Linked DNA regions of Caenorhabditis elegans. The protein of the gene in region 3 purifies or fractionates together with the protein of the main gene of each other region. This does not show direct contact. Each region holds a gene or a part of one and is shown on either strand. Other genes may lie near its edges.

Region 1 (5,498 bases), on a different chromosome or scaffold from region 3:
AAATAAAATAATTTAGTCACATTTAGAGAACCGAAAACTGAGAAATTGGTTTTTTAAATACCAAAAATGGTCTCAAACTACTGAATTTCGCAATGAAATGTTCTGAAAATTTATGAAAAATAAAAAAAAAAATATTATATGGGTTCAAAGTATTGTAAAATGTCATATTTTCAGTGTCGCAGCGCTGTCGTAAATCAGTTTTCATATAATTATCATAATTTATTGCTGGTTTTGTTCGCTTAGGCCCTTTTTAGGCCATAAGCCGCAATTTTAGAATGCCTACTAGCTTAAACTGTGCCTAGGTTAGAAAAAAACTCATTCGAAATCTAAATTGTATCTGAAAAGTTTCGTTAATTTTTTCCAGATACAAGTTTTTTATATTATTTTTAATCATGCTTTATTATTTCCATTTAATTACCATTGGCGCGGTAGCCTGAACATCCAAATAAATCGGCTGCGGAGATCCTGGCTCAATTTTCGATGCCATTGTCCGGCGAGCAATCGATCGAAGGAGCACTCGTCCGTTGAGCATTTTAAATCTAAAACTCTAAAAGTGAACATAGTTCACAACTCAACATAGGAACAATAGTAGGTTTTTCAAACCAAAGACAATATTGATTACAAGTAACAGTTTTTTTTCTCACGAACTGTGATTCGATTTATAAAAATGATGATTGTGGTTGTTTGAGGAAGAGGAAAGGGGAGAAGAAGGAGAACAATATGAAATGGGACAAAAAAGATTTAAAATTGAAACGGAATTTCAGAGGCATGAATTACACAAAAAAATCCTAAAAATAGAATTTGCAAAGAACGTTTCTCACGAAAAGATTAGGCACTTTTGTGGTACGTAGAGGGAAATTTTCGGAGAAGCGGGGAAGATTTAATATCTTAGCCAATTTTTAGAGCAAAGGAATAATGATGGAGAGGAGTGGTGTGGAAATTAATAAAAAAGGAAATAGTCAACAGGAAAATTAAAAAAAAAATAGAAAGAAATTTTAAGCGCCGTCAATTTTGGCATCGGAGGATTGAGAAGAAGCGGAATTCGATGCACCCTGTCCGTCAGCTTGTTCAGTTCCATTGGCACGAGCATGTGCTTCAACAACTGGGCGGAAGTATTCGTGACCCATGGCCTCTTGAGCAGTTAGGCGTTCCTGAATATGGTGAAATTTATTAAAAGTTCTGGAAATAAATTAATTTAACAAATAAAAGTATTTATAGTTAGTTTCGAGTATCAAATGTCTTTTTTTTCAATAAAACAAGTGAAAATTGTTTTTATTTCTCTGTGTTCTTGTTAAAACTGGTTTTCAGTAACTAATTTGGTGTAATTTCTCTTTTTTCCGATTCTTACCGCGTGATCGTAGCGAAGAAGTTTATCAAGGAAATCAAGAGCCTCTGGGGTGACAAGATGTTGATTTTCAGCGTGGATAAATCTACAACAAATGAATTTTAAGAAAAACATGAAACTTCGCTTCGATCAAAATATACCTTTCCCAGCGTTTTCTTGAGTGTCGCCCGAGAATATCGTTGAAGCGTGGATCGAGATCAATGTGATATCTCGCAATGTACTCGTAAAGCTCATCAGTTCCCAATACCTTTGCAATGCGGACTAGCTGCAAAAAACTTTTTATAAGAAAATCAGATTTCGTGAATTTATAAAATATTAAAAATCATAAAAATTATTGATGAATATTTAATAAATACCTGACAATATTATTTATTCATTTAAATTTCAGCTCAGGGGTGCGAATCAATCGCCGGCAAGAAATTCTACGGAATAAGCCAAACTTATCAGTAAAATTTTAGCTATGGAATTCAAAAAAATAATTTCTTTATCTGAAAATAGTTTTTTGCAGCTGGAACAATTGAAAAATGCTCAAAATTGGAAAATTTTCGGTTTTTTTCGGAAATTTTAAACTTTCCGGTAATTTTTTAAGCGTTTTTCCCCATTGTTCTCACTGAAATAAAAGCCATAATCAGATAAATCAAATGTTTTCTATATTCCAATATTGGATTTTAATGAAATTTGTGGATTTGCGGTTCTTTGCTACTTCAGCTTAAAGTGCTTACCTGATCGTAGTTATCATGGCCGTGGAAGAATGGTTCCTTCCTGAAGATCATACTAGCCAACATGCATCCCAAACTCCACATATCCAACGAATAATCGTAACATTGATAATCGACAAGAAGCTCGGGTCCCTTGAAATATCTAGAAGCAACACGAACATTATAGTCCTGTCTTGGATGATAGAATTCGGCTAATCCCCAATCTATTAATCGAAGTTCCCGTTTTTCGGCGTCAATCATCACATTGTGCGGCTTAACATCTCTGTGCATAATTCCTTGAGAATGGCAGAAGTCGAGAGCCTGGAGAATAAATTGAAACGTTATGAATTCAAAAATTAATGGACAGCTGAAAAAAGTACCTTCAAGAGCTCGTAGAGGTAGTAACGGATATCATAGTCACTGAGGGTTTGATACAATTGCTTGAAGTCCGAATTGTTAACATGCCTTCAAATAGAAATTATTAATTCTAAAAATCTTCAAATAGTAAACCAACTCGAAAATAAGAGCCGGAGTTCTCGAAATAGGATCCTTGACGACGTCGAGGAGGGTGATGATGTTTGTCCCGCCACGAAGATTCTCCAAAATTTTAATCTCACGCTTGATCTTCTTCTTTTTGACTGGCTGAAAACAAACAAATTACATTTTGAAAGCTTTATTACAATTATTTTTGTAAAACTTACCTTGAGAATCTTGACAACAACTTTCTCGTCAGTGCTCATCTTGAATCCTTCAAAAACCTCCGAATATTTTCCACGTCCCAACTTGCGTACCAGCTGATAATCATCGATTTGTCCCCATTCGATCATGTGAGCCTCATAGTCCCAGTACTCGCGTGGTCTCGACGGATTCACCTGAAACAATTGTGATTTATAATATATAAACTCATAAAAACATAATTTAGTGACTTTTACAAATAGTTTTTCTTTACGAGACTATAAATTCCTATGAACATTTATAAAATCTAACAAATGTGGCGTACAGTGTTTCACAGTATTCCACAACTAAACGGATAACGTTAATTCCGTCATTGTGAGTTATGTATGAGCAATATATTCTGTTCAATAATTAACTCCTGGCTATACAAACTTGCTCACCTCGGCGTAGACCCTCGCCCGGCTAGGAATCGGAGGCATTTCCCAAGAATAACGATCTGAAACAAGTAACACGTTATTTTTGAGCAAGTTTTGACAAAACGGCTGTTATAATTGAATTATTAGAACGAAATTTTCAGTAGAAATAGTAAAATCTCGGGAAAACTGATAAAACCCGAATAATTTTGAAAATACATGCCAGAACATGAAAAGAGTACGCAAATGCGAGAGAGCGCAGAGAAAAAACCAAATGTGAACTCGTGCGTGGTGAGATATTCCCGCTGCGAAAGTCGGTGTGCCTTTAAATTTGTCATCATCGACAACGGCGCGCATTTTCTTTTCTCATCTATTTCTGTATTTTAGAATGAAATCACTTTATTTTCAGCGAAACACTTAATTAAAATTGATATTTTCAGGTAATTATGCTTTCAGCTTCACAGCTTCATCGATTTGTGCAACATATTAATCGCCAGGCAAGCCGAGTAAGTTCTGAAGCAATTAATAAGTTATTTTATGTTTTTCTTCAGAACACATGGGTATTGCGCCGAGTATTCCAACCAGAAGTCACACCGCCCGGCGGAGTACAGAAAAATCCCAATGATTTCCACGATTACCAGAAATACGAAGTTGTTGAGTTCGAAACACAAAAATCCGCTGGTCCGATTAATGTGATTTTACTTCAAGATGTTGAAGGTAGTTTTTTAAAATAAAAGAAAGCAAATGTAAAAAATTCATTTTTACAGGAATTGGCCATCAGTTCGATGTGGTTAGTGTGGATCGGACTTTGGCCCGAAAGGATTTACTATTATCTAAAAAAGCCGTCTACGCGTCGCCGTTTGATTTAAAGTACTATTCAGATATGAAAACAGTGGGTTTTAATGTTAATTTATATTTTTCAATCAAATAATAATTTCAGCGAATGGCTGAAGAACTTGCTTCTCGAATCAGAATTCCATATGAGCTCAAAGTGGTTGGACGAGATTTGCAAAAAATGGTCATTCCAATCAAAGTTAATATGGAAAATCAATGGACGATTGATAGGAATCTTGTAAAAAGCTCACTTCGTCAAATGGGAGTTTTCGTTGCTGAAAATACAATTTTCCTCGCCGCTAAACCAATTTCTGGCCCGAATTTTGATATCGAAGCAAAACTATTCCGATTCTACGTTGTTGTAAATCAACAATACATTGTTCCTATGTTAGGAAGGATTACACATATTTCAGTAGATGAATCCAAACAGGTAAAGATTGAAAAGTTGTAGAAAATTATTGAATTTCCCTTTTTCAGATGATTTCTCCTACACTGACAACACCACGTGACGAGGAATTGGCTCGATATTCCATCCGAAAAGAGTTCCCATTGTACAGTAAAAATAACGATTTCACGGAAGATTTCCCAATTTTCGAGCACATGAAAGAGCATGCACCAACAACTCCACATTAGAATTCTAATAATCAATCAGACTAGATTTAATGTGTTTCAATTCTTTATTTTTGTTATTCTTGTTTTGTTGTTTGAAAAAAATCGATTTTATTTGTATTTGATTCTTCAAATAATTTTTAATTTATTTGCTCACGGTTTAATCACCGTTTAATATCTTCCTTCATTTATTCGTCAAACTGTTTTAAATTTAATTTTATTTCTCACATTCTACAGAGTTCATACAAAGGTGCTCAACACATTTCCAAAATGGTTCAAGAAAGTACTATGATTTGGTGAGTTTTTCTTGAATAATACGAACAATGGCAATATTATTTACTTTTCAGTGTCGACAATTCGGAATACATGCGCAACGGAGATTTCCAACCAACTCGGCTCCAATCTCAACAGGATGCAGTAAATCTTGTTACACAATGCAAGTTGCGTGCCAATCCGGAGAATGCTGTTGGAATTCTGTCAATGGCAAAGTTCGTATATTACTCAAACTCGAACGTTTTTTTGCGCTAAAATGACGGTACCTGGTCTCGACACGAAGATATTTTGTTAAATGCAAAAAGGTGTGCCCCTTTGAGGAGTACGGTAGTTTCAAACTTTCGCCGTTCTAGAATTTTCATTGGAAAATCGATGAAAATTCAGTAACAACGTTTGAAGTTACAGTATTCTTTAAAGGTGCACATCCGTTTGTATTTAGCGAAAAATGTCCTGTCGAGACCCAGTACCGTTTTTTGGCGCAAAAATCACTGATTTCCGGTAACACATGAAATTTTTCAATGTTTTCCTTTTCAGCAGTGTTCAAGTATTGTCAAGTCTGTCCACAGAACAAGGACGTTTGATGATGAAGAATCATTCCATTGAGCCATTCGGAAAATGCAACTTTATCGCCGGTATCAAGATTGCTCATCT
Region 2 (7,996 bases), on a different chromosome or scaffold from region 3:
GATGGTGGCATGGGGGAAGGGGGGAGAAGCGGATTTTTGATGAAAAGAAGGAAGAGAAGGAAGAAAATAAGAATATTAAAATGAATATATATTGGGGAAACATTATATAAAGCACTGAAAAGCGCAGGAAGAGCGCATATAGATATGATTACGGGGGGCTCTGAGAGTGCTGCTGATCACGTGGTGTGCCTTGTTGAGACGGTGGTGGCGGTGGTGGTGGACCAGATTGTTGACCAGATGGATTTACACCTTCAAAGCTTCATAAACGGTTAGAAATTTGAACTTTATAAACATTTAAAACATTACCTTGATTGCCTTGGAACTGCTGTGGAAGCGAATTCTGGCGGTGCATTTGTTGCTGTTGCTGTTGTTGTTGTTGCTGATAGTTTGGCATTGTACGGTAGTCAAAGTATCCCGACGTCGGGAATCCTTGATCAGATCGCTCGCCCATAAGACTTTGTTGAGGATGTTGGTTCTGTTGCATTGGCATCTGTTGGGGCATTATCATCGGATAGAATACTTGCTGAAAATGATTGAAAATTAGATTTACGTTTTTTTCTCGGTTTTGTTCTTTTATAGAGTGTGAGACATTTTCAAATATTTCTCAAAAAATGGTAATTTTAAATAAAATCTCAAAATTCAATTCAAAAAAAAAATCTATCCAGAAAAATTGCCGAAATAGGAGATCTCAGCTAAAATTTGCCAATTTTTCGTTGATTTGGGCACATTCAAGTTCTACAGTCGGAATCGAAACTTTCTCGCTATTTTTAAGAAAAAAAGTATGAAAAAAAACATTAGGCAATTTTTTCTCCTTTTTCACTGGGCGATTTCAGCTGTAGAACTTGCAGATCTACAAAAATTTAGCAGAGTCAATCACAATTTTGTTCTGAAACTTCTGAAAGAAAGGAAAAAAAACAAGAAAACCAAAAATCAAAAATACCACTGAAAAAAGGAAAGAAAGAGAGAGATTAAACATGCCTGAGGCTGCTGATAGTAATTAGGGATCTGCGGATGCATTTGATGCGGTCCCTGCATCACCATATACTGTTGAATGTGTTGCTGCTGCTGCTGCATCATCTGTGGTGGTGGTGCTCCGACGTGTGGAGGAGCATGATGTGGTGGATGTTGTTGTTGCTGATGCTGCTGCTGTGGTGGTGGTGGTGGAGGAACAGCACCTGGTGGAGATCCGCTTCGTTGTCCCGACTGAGAGCTCGTCGATCCGCTGTGACTAGCGTTGCTGCTCGACTCGGCCTGCATGTTTCCGTTCTGAAAATAGAGTCACGGTCACAATATTGAAAAGCTTCATCTTATTAGGCACAGAAAGTTTGAAAGAGGGAAACATGCGAATAAGTTTAAAAAAAAAGAAATCTCACCTGTGGAGCACCGCTCATCTTTGGCAACTCGCCACGTGGTCCCGGAGTCGTTGGCTGACTATTCGGATGTGATTGTGGGCGACTTTGCTCTCCGGAGAATTGTTGTTGCTGCGGTTGTTGCTGTTGCTGTTGCTGTGGTGGTGGAGGACCCTGGTATCTCGGCTGCTGCTGCTGACCCTGTGGAGGCATCATGTACACTTGTGGCTGCTGATATCTCTGTTGATAGGCACCCTGTGGAGCTTGCTGTGGCATCATCTTCATTTGGTATGGAGCAGCTTGCTGCATCTGGCCTTGGTACTGTGAATGATAGAATTGCTGAAAAAATTTAGAATTTTTGGAATTGAGAAATCAGGAATTTTAGATTAGGAAAAGTTTAAAATTCTAAAAATTCAAGGCCTTTAAAAATAAATGTTTTCCCTATTTCTACAGGGATATTCCAAATTTTCGGTTACCTGAGATGTGACTGGAACCATTTGTGGCGGTCCATATGGCATGTAGAGTGGCTGCTTCTCACGATACTCTCCATCTCTCAACTGATGATTCTGACCACCAGCCGCACTGGTTGGCACCTGATGCTGCTGATTTGGCTGCTGAGCAACAGTGACCGGAGTCGCAGCTCCCGGGCCATACATCTGTCCAGGAACACCTTGCATTGGGACATGTTGAATTGGGAATTGATGATTCTGTGGATAGCCGCCACCGCCTTGTTGCTGTTGTCCAGTCTGTTGCCACATCATCATCGGTGGTTGACCTTGATTTTGTGGGCCGCCCATGTGTGGTGGAACCATTCCCATTCCAGGAGCAGGTGGTCCTTGTTGTGGAGCCATCATTGCTGGATGTGGCTGTTGTTGTGGATGATATTCTGAAAATTTTAGAGTTAAAACTCCGTCTTGGCAGCCAAAATTTTTGTATCAAAAATTGATACCTATGTGTATTTAGAAAAATATTTATTTTGGTTTAAAAATTCCCTCTCAAATGACACAATTTGAGATCTTTCTCAAACCTTTCAACAAAAATTATCTTTTTTCTACATACATTTCTGTATTAATTTTTGATACAAAAATACTGAAAAAAAGCCGTTTTGTTCGTTTTCCTACCATTTTGCACTGGAGTCGTCGCTGTTGGAGTCGCCGGAGCCACACGTGGCTTGAACTCTGGAGCATTGATGTTGAATTTGAACGACGATGACTTCGAAGTGATCACTGAATCATTCTCTGAAGTAACGGAAACATTGTCGTCTTCCTGATGCTTTTCCGCGTCGTTCTGTACGTTTTGCACTGGTGCAGCTGCCACATCGACGCTTGTGGATGGAGCTTCTTCTGGAAATTGGCAAAATTGTTCATTTTTGTTGAGAAAAATAGAAAATAGATACCTTTTTTAGTCTCAGCCTCCTCTCCATTGGTTGTCGGTGGTGGAGTCGACTCATTTGATGATCCCTTGGCAACCAGCGAGCTCGGTGGTCCGCGATTCCAGGCACTACCCGAGTTTCCAGCTGGCACCGCCGGAGCCTGATCCTTTGGAGCCGTCGCAATCGAAAACTCGTTGCCCCAGTTCTTGAGATCTGTCACACGGGATCCACCGGCAGCAGCAGTGGCAGTGGTGGCAGATTGAGCTTTATCGTCAGCCGGCTTCACATTGTTGTTGGGTCTCGGATCCAGCATCTGCTTCTGCTGTTGACGGAACGAGTGGTCGTGGCCCTGGTTCTGGCCCTTCCCCTTGGCCATCTGCCAGTCTGAAAATTAAGTAGAATGAGTCATTGTTTAAACAAAAACGACGGAAATTGTTTTCTAAGGAATCAAAAATCGAATTTTTACCAAAAATACGTTACCCGGTCTCGGCACGACAAGCTTGTTTAATGCAAAAGGGTGGGCGCCTTGAAAAAATATTTCAAACTCTTGTTGCTGTGGAATATTCATATGAAACTATGAAAAAACAGAAATTTCGCAGCAAAAAGAGTTTGAAAATACAGTACTCTTTAAAGGTGCATACCATTAAACACAAATATGTCGTGTCGAGACCGGTTACAGTATTTTAACGCTATACCAAAATGCTCTTGATCTGATTCTGACAGATTTTCAAGAGGAATTTAAATCAAGATTTCTTTTAAAAGACACTAAAAACTTCGAAAACTGTGGAATTTCCATTATCTAGAAGGATCTGAGGACTGGTGAAGCTGCAAAGGAGGCAAAAAAGGTATGAACGATCGCATGTTTCATCATCATTCAGACACACACACAACAACAAAAAATCACCGAGAAAAAAGAGAGCGGAAAGGAATGAGAGAGAGAGAGAAAGTGTGGCGCCTCCCTAACGATCGATTGGTACACAACATAGACAACACGGTTTTTCGAGAAGAACACAACCAACTTGTGATGATGATGATGAAGATGATAAGCGGTGAGGAAGCGGACAGAGAGAGAGAGGTAGACAGAGGTAGAGAGAGAGACTTGATGAAAGCATGTATCAGAGACGCAGGTGTGTTTGTATGGATAAACTGGGACCCGTTCGGTCATTTTTTCAATTTTTTTTTTCGGCGTTTTCACTTAAAAATCGGCATTTACTTGTTTTTTCTGACACAAAGAAAACGTTTTTCAGTCAAAAATCGGAAAAAAAAACGATTTTTCCACTGAAAATAACACTATTGCAGAATTATTTCGTATTTCTGTGATCAAAATGTGAGGAAAGAATGAAAAATTGGTTTTCTGATGGGAAAAATCTGATTTTTTTGCTGAAAATTTGCAAAAAAAAAATCGCTTTTTTCCGCATCCCACGAGGAAAAACACTCCAATTAATCAGCTGAAGACAACCGCTGCAGCCGCTAGCGAAATTATGTCATGCGAAATGGGTCAAGAAAACGGAATACACCGAAAAAAGAACTGTTGGACGCGGAGAAAGAGAACGAGAGAGAGATAATGATCAAAGAGACACACTGTACTCTCGGGAATGTACACGAACCATTTTCCTCGTTCTGGCGGCGATAACCTTTTTGACCTTGCTGCTGCTGCTGATTCTGTGAATAGTTCTGCTGAGCCGCTGCTGGAGCACCGTAGCGACTATTGTTCGCTGAAGAGCTTCCACTATTACGACGATCTCCGCGAAGACCCTCGGCACGTCGATTCACTGGCTGCCCGTTTGGTGCAATATTCGGATTGCGGCGCTGTTGTTGTTGCTGGTTGAAGCTGTTATTATTGCTGAAACAAATAAATTTTTAAATTAATAAATTCAAATTTTTAAAGAATTCCAACCGCTTTCGGCCATTGCCATTCTCGAAATCCTCTTGACGCGTGATTTTGTCCAAATCTCGCTCGTCGTCGTCGTTCTCCAAGTTCGCCATAAACTTCGACGACGAGTTGGACTCAATTTCTCTAGCGAGCCGCTCGGCGCGTGCTCGATCTTCGTCGGTTCCTACCACTTCGACGCTGAAATTTGGGATTTTATTGCTTTGCACGATGTTTTCCAAAATTAAAATTAAAAAATCGGGTCAAAATATAGGAAAGCACTTGATCCATCAGAGAATAACACTGATTTCGGTAGAAATATTCGAAAAAATGCTTAAAAATAACCTGAAAATTGTCAATTATCAACTTTCAGGACATTTTTATGCAAAATTTTGCAAAAATGGTTCAGTGACAAGATTTTTTCAAGGCAAAACTGAAAAAAATAGATTCAGATGCCCAAAAACGCTTGCAGACTCCGAAAATCCTGGATTTTTCAAGCGAAAAAATTCAAATAAATTACGTTGTGTATTGCGTTAAATCCTCTTTGAACGTCGACACCACGTTCATCTTCTCGTTGGCGGCGAACATGTCGTTGACCGACCATCCGGTGCCGTTGTTGTGATTGTTGCTGCGACGAGCGGCGGTTTGTCCACCAGCAACGACGACGTCGTCCTCAATGGATCCTCCGAGTCCGTCCTCCTCACCTCCGTTCCATTCCTGAAGCTCTTCGCCCTCGATTGGAGTATCTCCGTGGTATTGTCTATCGGTGACGAATTTGCTGACTGAAAATGGAGAGTTTTTCAGCTTTTTCGGATTAAAAATCGTAACTGTGAACCCGACTTGGCCCAAAATTAAAGATGTCATGCATTTTTTTTAATGAAAAAGTTCCCTGAAACAGCTCTTACCAGCATGCTGCTTCTTGATCTCTTGCGTAACGTACGCAAAATCGACAATATCACTATAGTGAAATACCATCTTGTCTCTGCATTCCGACTCTGTTCTCAGCAAGTTATTCTCGTTCTCCTTCGTAATTTCCACGACGCACTGCATCCCGAAATCGAAATCCTGAGACACGGCGCCCAGCACCCCAGAATATCGCTTTTTGTCCGTAGTATTAATGATAATTACACGTCCGATCATATCATTGATGGCGCTCAACACATCGCCATTTAGCGCAGGAAGACCCGTTGGTGTTGACTGGAAAAATTGTATTTTTAAAGAAATTTTCAAGTTGCCAGCGCTTACCATTTCTTTCATTCGCACTTTGGATGCAAATAAAATATAAATAAATAGAAGATTGTCTGTGGAGCAGTCAAAGAGTTTGGGTACAGGAGAAATGTACCTGAAAATGGAAAAAATTTGAATTTTAAAAACAGCAATTTCGCAACGATAATGGAAGTTTAATATGAGTAACAGTTTTGGGCAAATTTTTGAAATTTCCAACACAATCCCGTTTTTCAAGGTTTCACCACGTGCAAAACGAGCCACAAGAAGAAAATTATCCACAAAATTCGCGGAAAAATTTGAAAAACGTTCGAGAGAGAGACGAGAGAGCACGCAGACAGCGGAGGACACGCACATGCGGTAAATGACGCGCCGATTTCCGTCGGGATTGCCTGAGACTCCGCCCTATGCAAGTGCGCCGCACAGGGTTTCGCAAGTGTGCCGCGCGCATTTTACACAGTGGGGTTTTCAGGAAAGTCGATATAGTGGGAATTAGTGGATTTTTTCCAAGGAAAGTGGTAAAACATGAACATTTCGCCTCAACAGTTGAGTTTTTGGGCAATGAATAAAAGCATTTTCCCCAAATCAAAAAGTTTATCCGCAATTTATTGAATTAGGTCTGACAAAATTCAGATTTTGTTCTTAAAAGAAAGATAGGACATTTCTTCATAGGAGCACACACTTTTTTCATTTGACAAAAAATTATCTTGCCGGGTACCACATTTCTCGTGCAAAATTTCGCGATTGGGAAATATTTATCTGTTTGACACCACAGATTTTGGGGAAACTCCCACTCGGAGAAATTCTTTCCCTGCGCTATCTTCCAATACACTTTGTCGATAATACAATTTGAAATAAACAAAACTAATTCTCAATTTAAAATTTATCGCTCATCAAAAATATTTAAAAATTTCCCCTGTTTTTCGGTCTTTTTTTCAAGACTCAAATTTCTGTAGAGAAAGGTTCTGTGACGTCTCTTGTCAAGTTCGCCCCATTGACACGATGAAGAGAGACGCAGACTGAAAATAAAAATATTTTTGATGACATTTTGGAATAAATTCAAGAACATTTTACTTTTTGCGGAAAAACCGAGTTTCTCGTATTGTTTTGAACAATTTTTAGCAATTTCAGTGTAATTTCTTCATTTTTCGACGTTAATTTCTTCGTAAAACGCTAAATATTTAGTATTTTCAGCATGGAAAGCCCAATGGAAGTCGATGCTCCCAGAGAATCAGCTTCGCTGACGTCTCTCGACTCAGCAAATGATGGTAAGCTAGTCTAGCTTCTAATTTACATAATGAACTTGAAATTTTCAGTGGAAAGAGTCTTCCTGCGGCTCGTCAACGCCAACTCGGACGCCAAGCTACAAACTATCACAGATCGGCACTTGTGCGATGTGTTGGAGTTTGCCGGGAGAAAGCAGGAGCACATTCAGCTGGTAAGACGCAAAAATTCGCTGAAATTTGATTCAAAATGACTAAAATTCGTGATTCCAGGTCACCGAATTTCTCACACACTTCAACAAAGTCGTCAAGAGCAATTTGGCGATCCGTCTCCCAGTGCCACGTCTGCTCGAACTTTTCCAAGGCCCGAGTGCCATTTCATCGGTTTGTAGCGTTCTCCAGACGATGTATAACCCAAAAAATTAATATTTTTTCCAGAATTTCAGTCTGATCTATCTCAAAATGGCAAAAGACCGGATCCAGGCCGCCGAGCAGCTAGAGTTTCTGCCTGTATACTTGACATCGTTCAGCAAGAAGCCCAATGATCTCAATTACATTTACGAGTAAGTAAAGTAGAACTATTTATATTTTCTATATAATTTTTTCCAGCATTCTCTCGTTGTGCCTGCCGGGACTCCACGAGCTCGCGAGAATCGAGAAAAAACACTGGCCGACGATCGAGATGAGCTCTGTCGACGTGGAAATCATTGCCAGATGCTTTCAGGCGATTCTCGTGTTCTCTGCACGAAGCATGTACGTAATTTCAGTTTTCAGAAGCGAATTTCCTGGTTTTAATCTGAAACATGCCTAGCATTTTGTTAATTTTACAATATTTCATGCCGAAATCTTCACGAACTTTGCCTGCTTTAACTCTAATATTTTATTTCAGTGAGGACATCAAAGTGCTCGTCGAGAAGCTTCCCACAGCATCGTCGGCTCCTGAGCTCCCAGCGCTGAG
Region 3 (4,834 bases):
AAAGATAAGAAAGATAAAAAGTCGAAAAAAGAAAAGGATTCTGATGCAGAAGAGGAGGAGCAAGACCACATTGCTGCTGAACAGGAGCAAAAAGAGGAAGAAGACGATGATGCTGAAAAAAATAGTCAGGCATCAACTGATGATAATTATGAAAAAATTGAAGACGAGGTAATCTGATAAGTGTTTCAATTTAAATAATTATAATTTTGAAATTTAGGAAATCTCTGCTCCACCATCACCAAGTGACGATGCTCCTCGAAAACGTCGTCCAGCTAAAGTCTAGAAATTTAGTTTATCCTGAAATTTTTCCATTCCACATTTCTGCATTTATGAAAACTTGTCCTGAAAATCTATTGCATTACCCTCATCCTGTCGGTTTCGTCACATTTTAAATACTATTTTTCGTCCCATTCTTCCATACTGTGATTACCCTCTTGGCTAGTTTCTTCTTTCTCAGTCACTCTTCATTGTTCTTGCATAACTAAAATCTGAATGTTTCCGTTTCGGTCCACTATTGGACATATAATAAATTGGTCTATACAAAAGTCAAACAAGATAATTTCTTCATCAAACTTGGCTCATATAACAATAGAAAATTGAATAACTTGAAACATGCCAAAATGAATGTAGAAAATAATGATATAAATATGTGGAGATGGGGGGAGAAAGAGGAAGTACGACCCGTGTTGATTAACACAATTCCGAATCGGACTGATGGAACAAGAAAAGGGAGATAAATGTGAAAAGATGACCATCACAGCACATCAAAAAGACGTGGTTAAAGCATGAATTGTCTATAGAGTGTTCGTAGAATGGAATAACAAACTATTGAGGCCGATTCTGCTGCAACGCTGGCCATTGGGATGCAGACATCATTGGATGTGGTCCAAGAATTCCAGCGCCAGTGTTTGGGGATCCATTGTTTGCGTGTTGTTCTCGAATCGCATTCACATTACGTGGTGGGCATCTGCAAAAAGAATGTTAACAATATTTTAAAATGAGCCAAGTAATTGAAACTCACCCAAATGGAATTGGATTTTGACTCATCGGAGGTTGCTGTAGATTTGGTTGATAATTGTTCTTTTGCATATCATTTCTATTCTGTCCGAATTTTCCTGATTTGTTCTGCTGCTGCTGTGGCTGATGCTGCTGTTTTCTACCATTATTCGGATTGTTCTGGTTGGAATTTCCGTTTTGGTAGAACTGACCATTCTGAGGCTGTGACGAATATGATCGCTGCTGACCTTGCTGCTGCATATTCCTATTCTGATAGTTTTGACCATTGTTGGTCATACATCTATTCTGCATTTGATTCATCAACGGCGGGGGCTTTGCTGTCGGCCCACTGTTGCATGGCATCTGATACATCATCGGCTGTCGATTCTGTCCACGACCAGCACCATTCTGCTGTGGATAACTATTCACCTGATTTCTTTGGTTCTGTTGATTCATCACTTGGCCATTTATAACCTGTTGGTGTTGCTGAGGCGGTTGATGTTGAATCTGTTGGCATTGTTGCTGTTGTTGTTGAATTTGGTGTAGTTGTCCTGCATTCATTTGATGGTGCAGTTGTCCTTGGGGTTGGAAGTTTGGAGGTGGGTAGGCCATGTTTGGTAGATTGTACGGAATGTAGTTCTGAAACTATTAATAGGTTATTTGAATCGTCCATTATTTTGTCATATTTTTATGGTATTAACCAAATAAATCATTCAATTAGAAAGGAGTGGTTACAATCACAACAACAAAAAAACAAACCATTGGCTGTTGGGTAGGCGCCTGATAATAATATATCGCTTGATCATTTTGACCATCACCGTTGCTGTTTTGTGATGTTGTGGAAATAGCTGAGGCTTCATGCGGAACAAACTGATGTTGGGTCTGATTATGATACTGTATCGGAATTTGTACGTTCATCTGCATCATATACTGATTATCCAAATACTGTTGTTGATGAAGCGATTGTTGTTGTAACGTTGGCTGGAAATTTGGTTGCTTCTGTTGAAACCCAGGCGGTCCATTGTAAACTCCGCCGCTCTCCGATACCGATGGTGGTGGCTGCTGAAGCTTTAGATCGGGTTAGGAAAGTAATACAGGTTAGGACGAAAACTGAGTTAAATTCCCTGCTACTGTTTTTATAAACTAACCGTAAAATCTGGAGTATATTGCCGTTCAGGAGGGACAATTTCAGCTGGCTGCTCCATTAATTCGCGGCTCAATTCCTCTCCATAGTGCTCTACCATGTTTTGTTGAGTCATTTTGAGAGTTTCAGGTGATTTGGAGCGATCAATAAACTTGATTTCTTTGATTTCCTGATTATCGGGTTTGTACTCGGTTCCCAAAATTCTGTTACGAGCTGCTTGGTATGCAGCTTGTCGTTCCTCATAAGTAGGAGCAGGTTGTTTTTCCTTTTGATTTAATTTGTGGTGAGAGCGAGATCGGACGTTTGTCACTGGCTGTTCTTCTGTATCTGCAGATGTTGGTGGCGATGCTTCGATGACATTTTCAGATGCAGCAAAACCATCTTTAGGGCGCCGAAGGAACACTCGTTTAGGCTCTTCAGCTGATGGTCCGAGACCTTCTTCTGTCTGGAGTCTGAAAAAATAAAAATTTGATTTGCAAAACGATTAATCGGTTAAATATCAACTTACTTCGAAACGACACCGCTACTCTCTTCTGCTTTTACTTTCTCAAAAAATGCTTCCTTCTTTTCTTCCTTCCGCTGAAGAAGTTTTACCTAAAATCAATATAAATTACATTTCAAATAACTTTATAAACTTTAGAACAAACCTTCTCAACCTTATCCATTAATTCCTTGACTGGATCCGCATCTGCATCATCCCAGCTATCGGCGACAACTAGAGAAACTTTGCAAATATTAAAAATATGATTAGGAACATTTAACTTACCATTTTCTTTACTCATAACGCAATTAGAAACAGAGGAAATGTGTGTGGCTGTAAAACAAAAAATATGGATCAATGAAAAGAGAACGGGCGGCAAAATGAGTGGTGCTCGCGACGGAGCAAGACGGGTCCGTTTTCGGTGGAGAGTGCACGCGGAGAGCGCAAGAAGAAATCGGGAAGTGCGCAAAGACTCGTTCATGACGTCTTTTTTAATGTGTAAAACGAGGGAAATTCAAATTTAGATTTTTTTAGACGACAGAATTTGTCAATTGTTTGGGAAAAATATATTTTAAAAATTAACATTCGTGAAACGAAAAATCTTTAAAAATTTCTGCATGAAAAATGAAATTTGAAACCGTGCGCAGGTTGCAAAACATCACTCGAGGCACGGTTTCGTGGGCGTGGTTACAGTACTCTTGATTAAAGGCGCATGGTCTGTTTTAAACGCCCACTAAGGTTATAGGCACAGAAATTGATTTTTGAAACGAAAAAAGCAATTTTGAACAACTGTAATCAGGTTTTGAGTTCATATTTTCAAAAAAAAAATATTTTACTACATTTAAATCGGTACAGGATTTTGACCTTTCAGTGCCCAGCATTTTCTTTGAAACAATTCATCCCGATCAGCAATAATTCTTTTCGCATTTGCAATTTATTCTATAATTAGATAAGAGGATGACTCGTGGAAGATGGCAAGCGTGCCGCATTATTTCAAACTGATAACACACATTCTCGCTCTCAATCAATTTCCGACTGAAAATCGACCACAGCCTCTTTCGTTTGTCTTGTTGGACGGAAGCGCATTAAAGTATCATGTCGAGCGTTTCAGAGAAAGAGCATCGAATGTAAGTTTTAAGATTTCATATTTGGAGGATTTTTTATTAATTCCAGAATCGATGATTTTGATTATGGGGATAATGTATCTATTATTGATAGATCTGAAATTGTTGATGTGAGTTTAATTATAATTTTTTTGAGACATTATGACACGATTTTGCTAGTAGTTACTTGATTTGAAAATGACTAAAAGATTATTTGGAACATTTTCCTGTTTACTTTGTGCAAATACACAGTAATATTTTTTAGTTTCTAAAATTTACACAAAATTGAATATCCAGAATGAGATGACGTTCCTGAAAATGTCAAACTTCAATTTCTGATGAACAATTTTGTCCAAGTTAGCACCTGTAACGACGAGCACAACTGAGATCGTGGCGGGACCCAATAAGAGATACGACGTGCGCCTTTAAAACAATATTTCACTTTTTTACGAAGTTACGATATGTCGTCAGCGAAATTCAAATGCTTTCGAATAACCACAAAAGCTATTCAGGCTTGTACATTCGAACGCTACTTGAAACAACTAGAATTCATATATTATGAAGAATTTCTGATTCATTAGGATCTGTTTAATTGTAAAAACTTTCAGTGGAGTGCCATAGTTATCAAAATTATTCTGGGACTTGTGTTCATTGGTTTTGCATCTGGATGCATCATATACTCTGTAATCACATGTATGCACAAAAAAACACAAAAATCAATTCTAAAAGTGTATTTTTAGCAGAGGAGTATGTACACCCAGCCGCTATAAACTCAACTTTCTTCTCCTATGATGTCAGTCAACACTGTGACAATGGAACATTGACGTGGTCGAATAGGACAGGATCTATTAATGATTATGATGTAGGTCTAATTATTAACTTGATATTCTCAAGTTTAATTCTAAATAGAAAGATTACAGTATTCCGAAAAGATAATTGAATCAACTTGTAAGATTTTAATATTGAATTCAGAAAGTGACAACTGGAATCGCGTGGTTACAGGACTCAACCAGAAAACGCATTTATCATAGAATCGGAATTGCTCCAAATGACAAGGACTGGAGGGTTTCTCATTATGTTTTTGTGTAAGAAACTTTTTTTTTTTGGAAA
Region 4 (4,655 bases), on a different chromosome or scaffold from region 3:
GATGCTGAAAATCTCCGGTTTCAATCATATTGTTTACTAGATTCAGTTACTGGAGCCGTTAGTAACAAACTATTGTCATTCCGCTAGATCGTATTCCTACTTTTAATTTGAATTATAATTAGCTCACCAGTTTTTTTTTCTGTCTGAAGTTTTCGGTCTTTTTCAACAATGATTTTGTTACATAATAATTTAAAAAATCGGACATCATTAACCTTCGTTAGTTGCCAATCGATAGTTTCATCTTCTAAAACATACCGTTTTTTCTGAAATTTCGCATAAATGAGTCATCATGATTCTGCTGGGTTATGAAATGTATTTTTCTAGAAATATTCTACCTCGAACATTTTTTTCAGTACGCCCCTCTATCATAACTTGGCCGTCCCTAGCACGTCACCAGAGCTCTAAATCCTCGCCTTTTCACACCTCCTTTCTGCACACAACGCCTCTGCTGTCGTCGTTGTCGCCTTCAGCGATAACGCCAATAAACGAAAACATCGGTTCAGGAAGAGGACTTCTTCACTTCTCTCCGTCTTGTTAACAACAGACAGTGAGGGTGTTCAGTAGAGCGCAGTGAACCGCGACGCGAGCCCTTGCGATGCGGTCGCTCTTTCCTCTGCCTTATATCTTTTCTTTTTCATCTCTTTCTCCGTCACTTTCGCAATGCGATTGGTTCCTCGGCTGGTTATAGCACAGGAGTGCCGCTGCTCCTTCGCTATCTGTCGTCTGATCCTCCGTCACTGCCCAATTGGCGGGCCCCGCATCTCTCTGCAGCCCTGCTTTCTCCGCCTCGCTCTCCTCACAAAACAACAATTTTGTCGTACTCGATCATCCCGCGTTCTCTATCATTTTGATGTCTTCCACTAATGTTAAATTCATTTATTCCGTTCTCACGTGTTCCCATTACAATTGGCTTTTGCCCATTGAATATTGATTATGATTCACCGAAAATAAGGCAAAAAAAACACAGTTTTATGATTTTTTTTTTCATTTGAAGAGTTTCAGTTACATAATTAGGTTTTTTACCGTATCAACGTTTGCCTAACAATTAAAATATTTTAATTCTCGTTAGAACATAGATTGACCCCTATTGTGAAACATAATTAACAACATTTGTTCTTTGCCTTATCGGAACGGAATGAAATTCCGTATGGTTTGGTGGGAGGTAGAAACGCAAACAGCGAGTTATCGATTTCCTCTTTTTCCTATGAATATTTTTCAGCGCGTGATTGTTGTTCATCTTTCACTTCTTCGTCTAAAATTGAGAATGGACACTTTTTGACACTAGTAACTAATCCGGTCTGGCATTTAGTAACATTGAAAAATAATCCATAAAAACTACACATTTTATTTCTATGTTCTTGTTTTCTTTTCTTAACCTGTTCACGATTGATTTTCCGTCTTTTTTAAAACTTGTGCTTTACATCATTTCATTAACTGTCTCTCCTCCAATTGTGACGTTTTCTTTTTCGTTATAAGATGCTGTTGGAGCAAGGGGCACTTAATCCCTTTTGTCTTGCAATCCTATCAGTTTATACGGAAAGAAGAATCCGCTGAAAAGTATTGACTGTGAGGCAACAGCGTGAGTTTCTGCTCTTCACGCTTTCTCCGACTCGTGCTCCGTTGCTATAGCTGCCCACGTTGTCTTTCTTCTTTCTCTATGCGTTCTTATCATTCAAACTTTTTTATACTTCTAATTTCTTGACCAACAAATAAGTTTTCAGTAGTATGGCTGCTGCCCCACCATCTGCGGATCCGCTTGATAAAGCACTAATCGTCGATGTAGATCAGTGGATTGAGCAGTTATACGAATGTAAACCACTATCGGAGAATCAAGTCAAAACGTTATGCGAAAAGGTTTGTTGATACAGTTTTGTGATTGTCAAAAATTAATTTTTTTAAGGCGAAAGAGATCTTGGAAAAAGAGCCGAATGTGCAAGAAGTCCGGTGCCCTGTGACAGTGTGTGGTGACGTTCACGGTCAATTCCACGATCTGATGGAGCTGTTCAAAATGGGTGGAAAGAGTCCTGACACGAATTACCTTTTCATGGGAGACTACGTCGACCGGGGGTATTATTCCGTCGAAACAGTTAGTCTGCTTGTCTGTTTGAAGGTACAGTTATCACAATATAGTATGGAAATTATTATAACATCTTTAAAAATTCAGATTCGATACAAGGATCGAGTAACACTGCTCCGCGGAAATCACGAGTCGCGACAAATCACTCAGGTAATTAAAATCAATTTATTTCAAAAATTATTATTTTCTTGTTAGGTCTACGGGTTCTATGACGAGTGTTTGAGGAAATATGGAAACTCGAATGTGTGGAAGTACTTCACTGATCTCTTCGACTGTTTCCCACTTACCGCTCTTGTTGATGGTCAAATCTTCTGCCTTCACGGAGGTCTTTCACCGTCTATTGATACTCTTGATCACATCAGAGCTCTTGACCGCATTCAAGAGGTAAGTTATTGTGGAAATCTACCTTTAATAGTTACTAGCCTGAAATATTTCAATAATAGAAAAGTTCTAACATTTTCATCACCGAAAATCATATATTTTTAAAGGTTCCACACGAAGGACCAATGTGCGATCTTCTCTGGTCTGATCCAGATGACAGAGGTGGCTGGGGAATCTCTCCACGTGGAGCAGGATACACATTCGGTCAGGATATCTCGGAGACGTTCAACCATTCCAATGGACTTACTCTAATTTCTCGGGCCCATCAACTTGTCATGGAGGTGAGAAATTATTTCAAATCGATATAATTTTGCAATGATATAAATATGTTTAGGGATACAACTGGAGTCACGATCGTAACGTGGTAACAGTGTTCTCAGCACCAAACTACTGCTATCGTTGTGGAAATCAGGCAGCGATGGTGGAGCTGGACGACGATCTCAAATATTCGTTCTTGCAATTCGACCCTGCCCCTCGAAGAGGAGAACCACATGTTACTCGCAGAACGCCTGACTACTTCCTGTAGATAGATACCTCCGTTCAAATCGCCGTTTTCATTTTCTTTTTTTTCCGTATTATCCCCCTTACCCAATTAATTTCAATACTTTCTCTCACTTTTCCTCTTTTTCATCGTTTCAGTCATTATATAGAATATCGTTGTTTTTGTATCGTTGCCCAACACCATCCTATTTGACAATCCCATCTCTTCTGAAGTTGCTCGAAATGATTGTTGTGTTCTTCATCTATCTTTTTTGTTCCATTCTCTTGTCCTCTACCAAAATTTAGGCGATCAAACCGTGCTTCTCTTCTCAAATGATGCGATGATAGGGATGAAAATTTCATTGTTCATGTAAATTAATGTGGTGGGAAGAGTTTGGCGGAATCATTAGCCATTACTGAAAAAATATCTCCGACATCTCGTGTCAACCTTAGCACTCGGTTCTCTTCCTTCACTCAATGAAGCAATCAATATTCTTTTCAGTCATCCCCGTGTGAGAAAAGTTGCGATCTTCTCCGCGCACGCGCTGTACGGCGTTCGCTTCCAACATTTCTTTACTCTTTTTCTTTTCCTTCCATATTCTTACACTATTTTCCCCTCCATCCCATCCTTTTCACCACTTCCCGTCTTCCTTGTTTCTTATGATTATTATCACAAAATGCGAATGGACAACATCTCTCCCTTTTCCACTATTTTATTCCCCCATTTTGTTTAATTATAATATTATTTTTGCCCCATCAACATTTTGTTTATCATCAATGATCAATAAACTGTGTCCACATCAAAGTTTTGAATTTTCGATTGCAATGTAGAAAGCATAAAACAATACTTGTCTTGGTGAAAGAAAAAACTTTAAATCGAATTATTTTGGTTCCAGAAAATGAGTGAACCAAGTTCATCATGGTGCAATCCAATGGCAGTTTCAACGTTAGGAAGTGGAAATCTTCGTGACGCTCTGAAACTTCCACCAGGGGAAGATAAAAATGAATGGCTCGCCGTAAATAGTAAGTTTTTGCTAAAAAAAACTTTGACATTTTTTTGCACAGCTTGGTAATAATAATTTGTAATAAAACAAAAAATAATTTATAATAAAACAAAAACTGCTAATTGTGATTTTTTTCGAGTTGATCCAATTTTCTCAAAAAATACAAAAAATTGGATAAATTTCCTACAGTAATCTTAAAGGCGCGTACACGAAAACAAATAAACACTGACGCGCGGCGAGACTATTTCTCAATTTTGGTTCTCCCTTTAAAAAAGCGGAAACATACAGTTTCTATAAGTTTTCTTTTTTAATTTTATTTTTGAAAAATTCCAAAAAAAAAGCGCATTTTTTCAGTAATCGATCTGGTAAATCAAGTTCGAATGGTTTTCGGAGTTCTCTGCGAATCCGAATGTACCGATTCAAAGTGTCCATCGATGACAGCACATGGAAGACAATATACTTGGACCAGTGAAGGAACATTGTAAGCTTTTCTAAGTTTTTCCGTAATTCTTGGTTATCAAAATTCAATATTTTGAAAATTCTTAAAATTGCAGAAAACCGTTTCAGTATACATAATCTAACTGTAAAACGTATATAATTGTTTAAAATTTGCTCGGTTTTTTTTTTCAATTTTGCAGCAAAAAATATATATAGTGCACTTTTTCTCAAATTCTATGACTTTGAAGCAACATATTTGACGCGCAAAATATCTC

The links.
Region 1: the proteins of szy-20 (region 3) and kin-3 purify together in Caenorhabditis elegans (affinity purification with western blotting; one study listed by BioGRID). This does not show direct contact.
Region 2: the proteins of szy-20 (region 3) and atx-2 purify together in Caenorhabditis elegans (affinity purification with western blotting; one study listed by BioGRID). This does not show direct contact.
Region 4: the proteins of szy-20 (region 3) and let-92 purify together in Caenorhabditis elegans (affinity purification with western blotting, with the first as the bait; one study listed by BioGRID). This does not show direct contact.

The regions. Positions count from the first base shown.
Region 1 is NC_003279.8:10,731,738-10,737,235, reverse strand, and holds kin-3 (Casein kinase II subunit alpha), read right to left. Parts: upstream 3,215-5,498; 5' UTR 3,198-3,214; coding exon 3,159-3,197; intron 3,094-3,158; exon of another isoform or gene 2,980-3,093; intron 2,916-2,979; coding exon 2,745-2,915; intron 2,686-2,744; coding exon 2,558-2,685; intron 2,509-2,557; coding exon 2,424-2,508; intron 2,365-2,423; coding exon 2,068-2,364; intron 1,611-2,067; coding exon 1,486-1,610; intron 1,431-1,485; coding exon 1,349-1,430; intron 1,152-1,348; coding exon 996-1,151; 3' UTR 621-995; downstream 1-620. Other genes in the region: nfs-1 (cysteine desulfurase), read right to left, coding at 419-487; mrpl-9 (Large ribosomal subunit protein bL9m), read left to right, coding at 3,578-3,637, 3,683-3,848, 3,899-4,023, 4,072-4,395, 4,443-4,598; rpn-10 (26S proteasome non-ATPase regulatory subunit 4), read left to right, coding at 4,845-4,870, 4,922-5,062, 5,382-5,498. UniProt on the Caenorhabditis elegans protein: Casein kinases are operationally defined by their preferential utilization of acidic proteins such as caseins as substrates. The alpha chain contains the catalytic site. May participate in Wnt signaling.
Region 2 is NC_003281.10:10,459,565-10,467,560, reverse strand, and holds atx-2 (Sm domain-containing protein), read right to left. Parts: upstream 6,173-7,996; coding exon 5,837-6,172; intron 5,789-5,836; coding exon 5,497-5,788; intron 5,374-5,496; coding exon 5,112-5,373; intron 4,793-5,111; coding exon 4,619-4,792; intron 4,565-4,618; coding exon 4,329-4,564; intron 3,106-4,328; coding exon 2,746-3,105; intron 2,693-2,745; coding exon 2,471-2,692; intron 2,236-2,470; coding exon 1,826-2,235; intron 1,689-1,825; coding exon 1,374-1,688; intron 1,267-1,373; coding exon 975-1,266; intron 520-974; coding exon 307-519; intron 258-306; coding exon of another isoform or gene 250-257; coding exon 149-249; downstream 1-148. Other genes in the region: ecps-1 (Proteasome component Ecm29 N-terminal domain-containing protein), read left to right, coding at 7,011-7,083, 7,132-7,253, 7,312-7,422, 7,477-7,601, 7,648-7,791, 7,928-7,996.
Region 3 is NC_003280.10:8,966,372-8,971,205, forward strand, and holds szy-20 (SUZ domain-containing protein), read right to left. Parts: upstream 2,957-4,834; 5' UTR 2,923-2,956; coding exon 2,907-2,922; intron 2,865-2,906; coding exon 2,788-2,864; intron 2,735-2,787; coding exon 2,649-2,734; intron 2,593-2,648; coding exon 2,145-2,592; intron 2,065-2,144; coding exon 1,756-2,064; intron 1,636-1,755; coding exon 1,022-1,635; intron 968-1,021; coding exon 826-967; 3' UTR 550-825; downstream 1-549. Other genes in the region: sec-62 (Translocation protein SEC62), read left to right, coding at 1-168, 218-283; C18E9.5 (uncharacterized protein), read left to right, coding at 3,717-3,748, 3,795-3,855, 4,333-4,417, 4,465-4,586, 4,697-4,809. UniProt on the Caenorhabditis elegans protein: RNA binding protein that is required for normal cell division and cytokinesis during embryonic development.
Region 4 is NC_003282.8:11,856,721-11,861,375, forward strand, and holds let-92 (Serine/threonine-protein phosphatase 2A catalytic subunit), read left to right. Parts: upstream 1-1,721; 5' UTR 1,722-1,725; coding exon 1,726-1,854; intron 1,855-1,900; coding exon 1,901-2,110; intron 2,111-2,164; coding exon 2,165-2,227; intron 2,228-2,272; coding exon 2,273-2,461; intron 2,462-2,565; coding exon 2,566-2,739; intron 2,740-2,792; coding exon 2,793-2,984; 3' UTR 2,985-3,740; downstream 3,741-4,655. Other genes in the region: mob-1 (Mob1/phocein), read left to right, coding at 3,838-3,961, 4,297-4,423.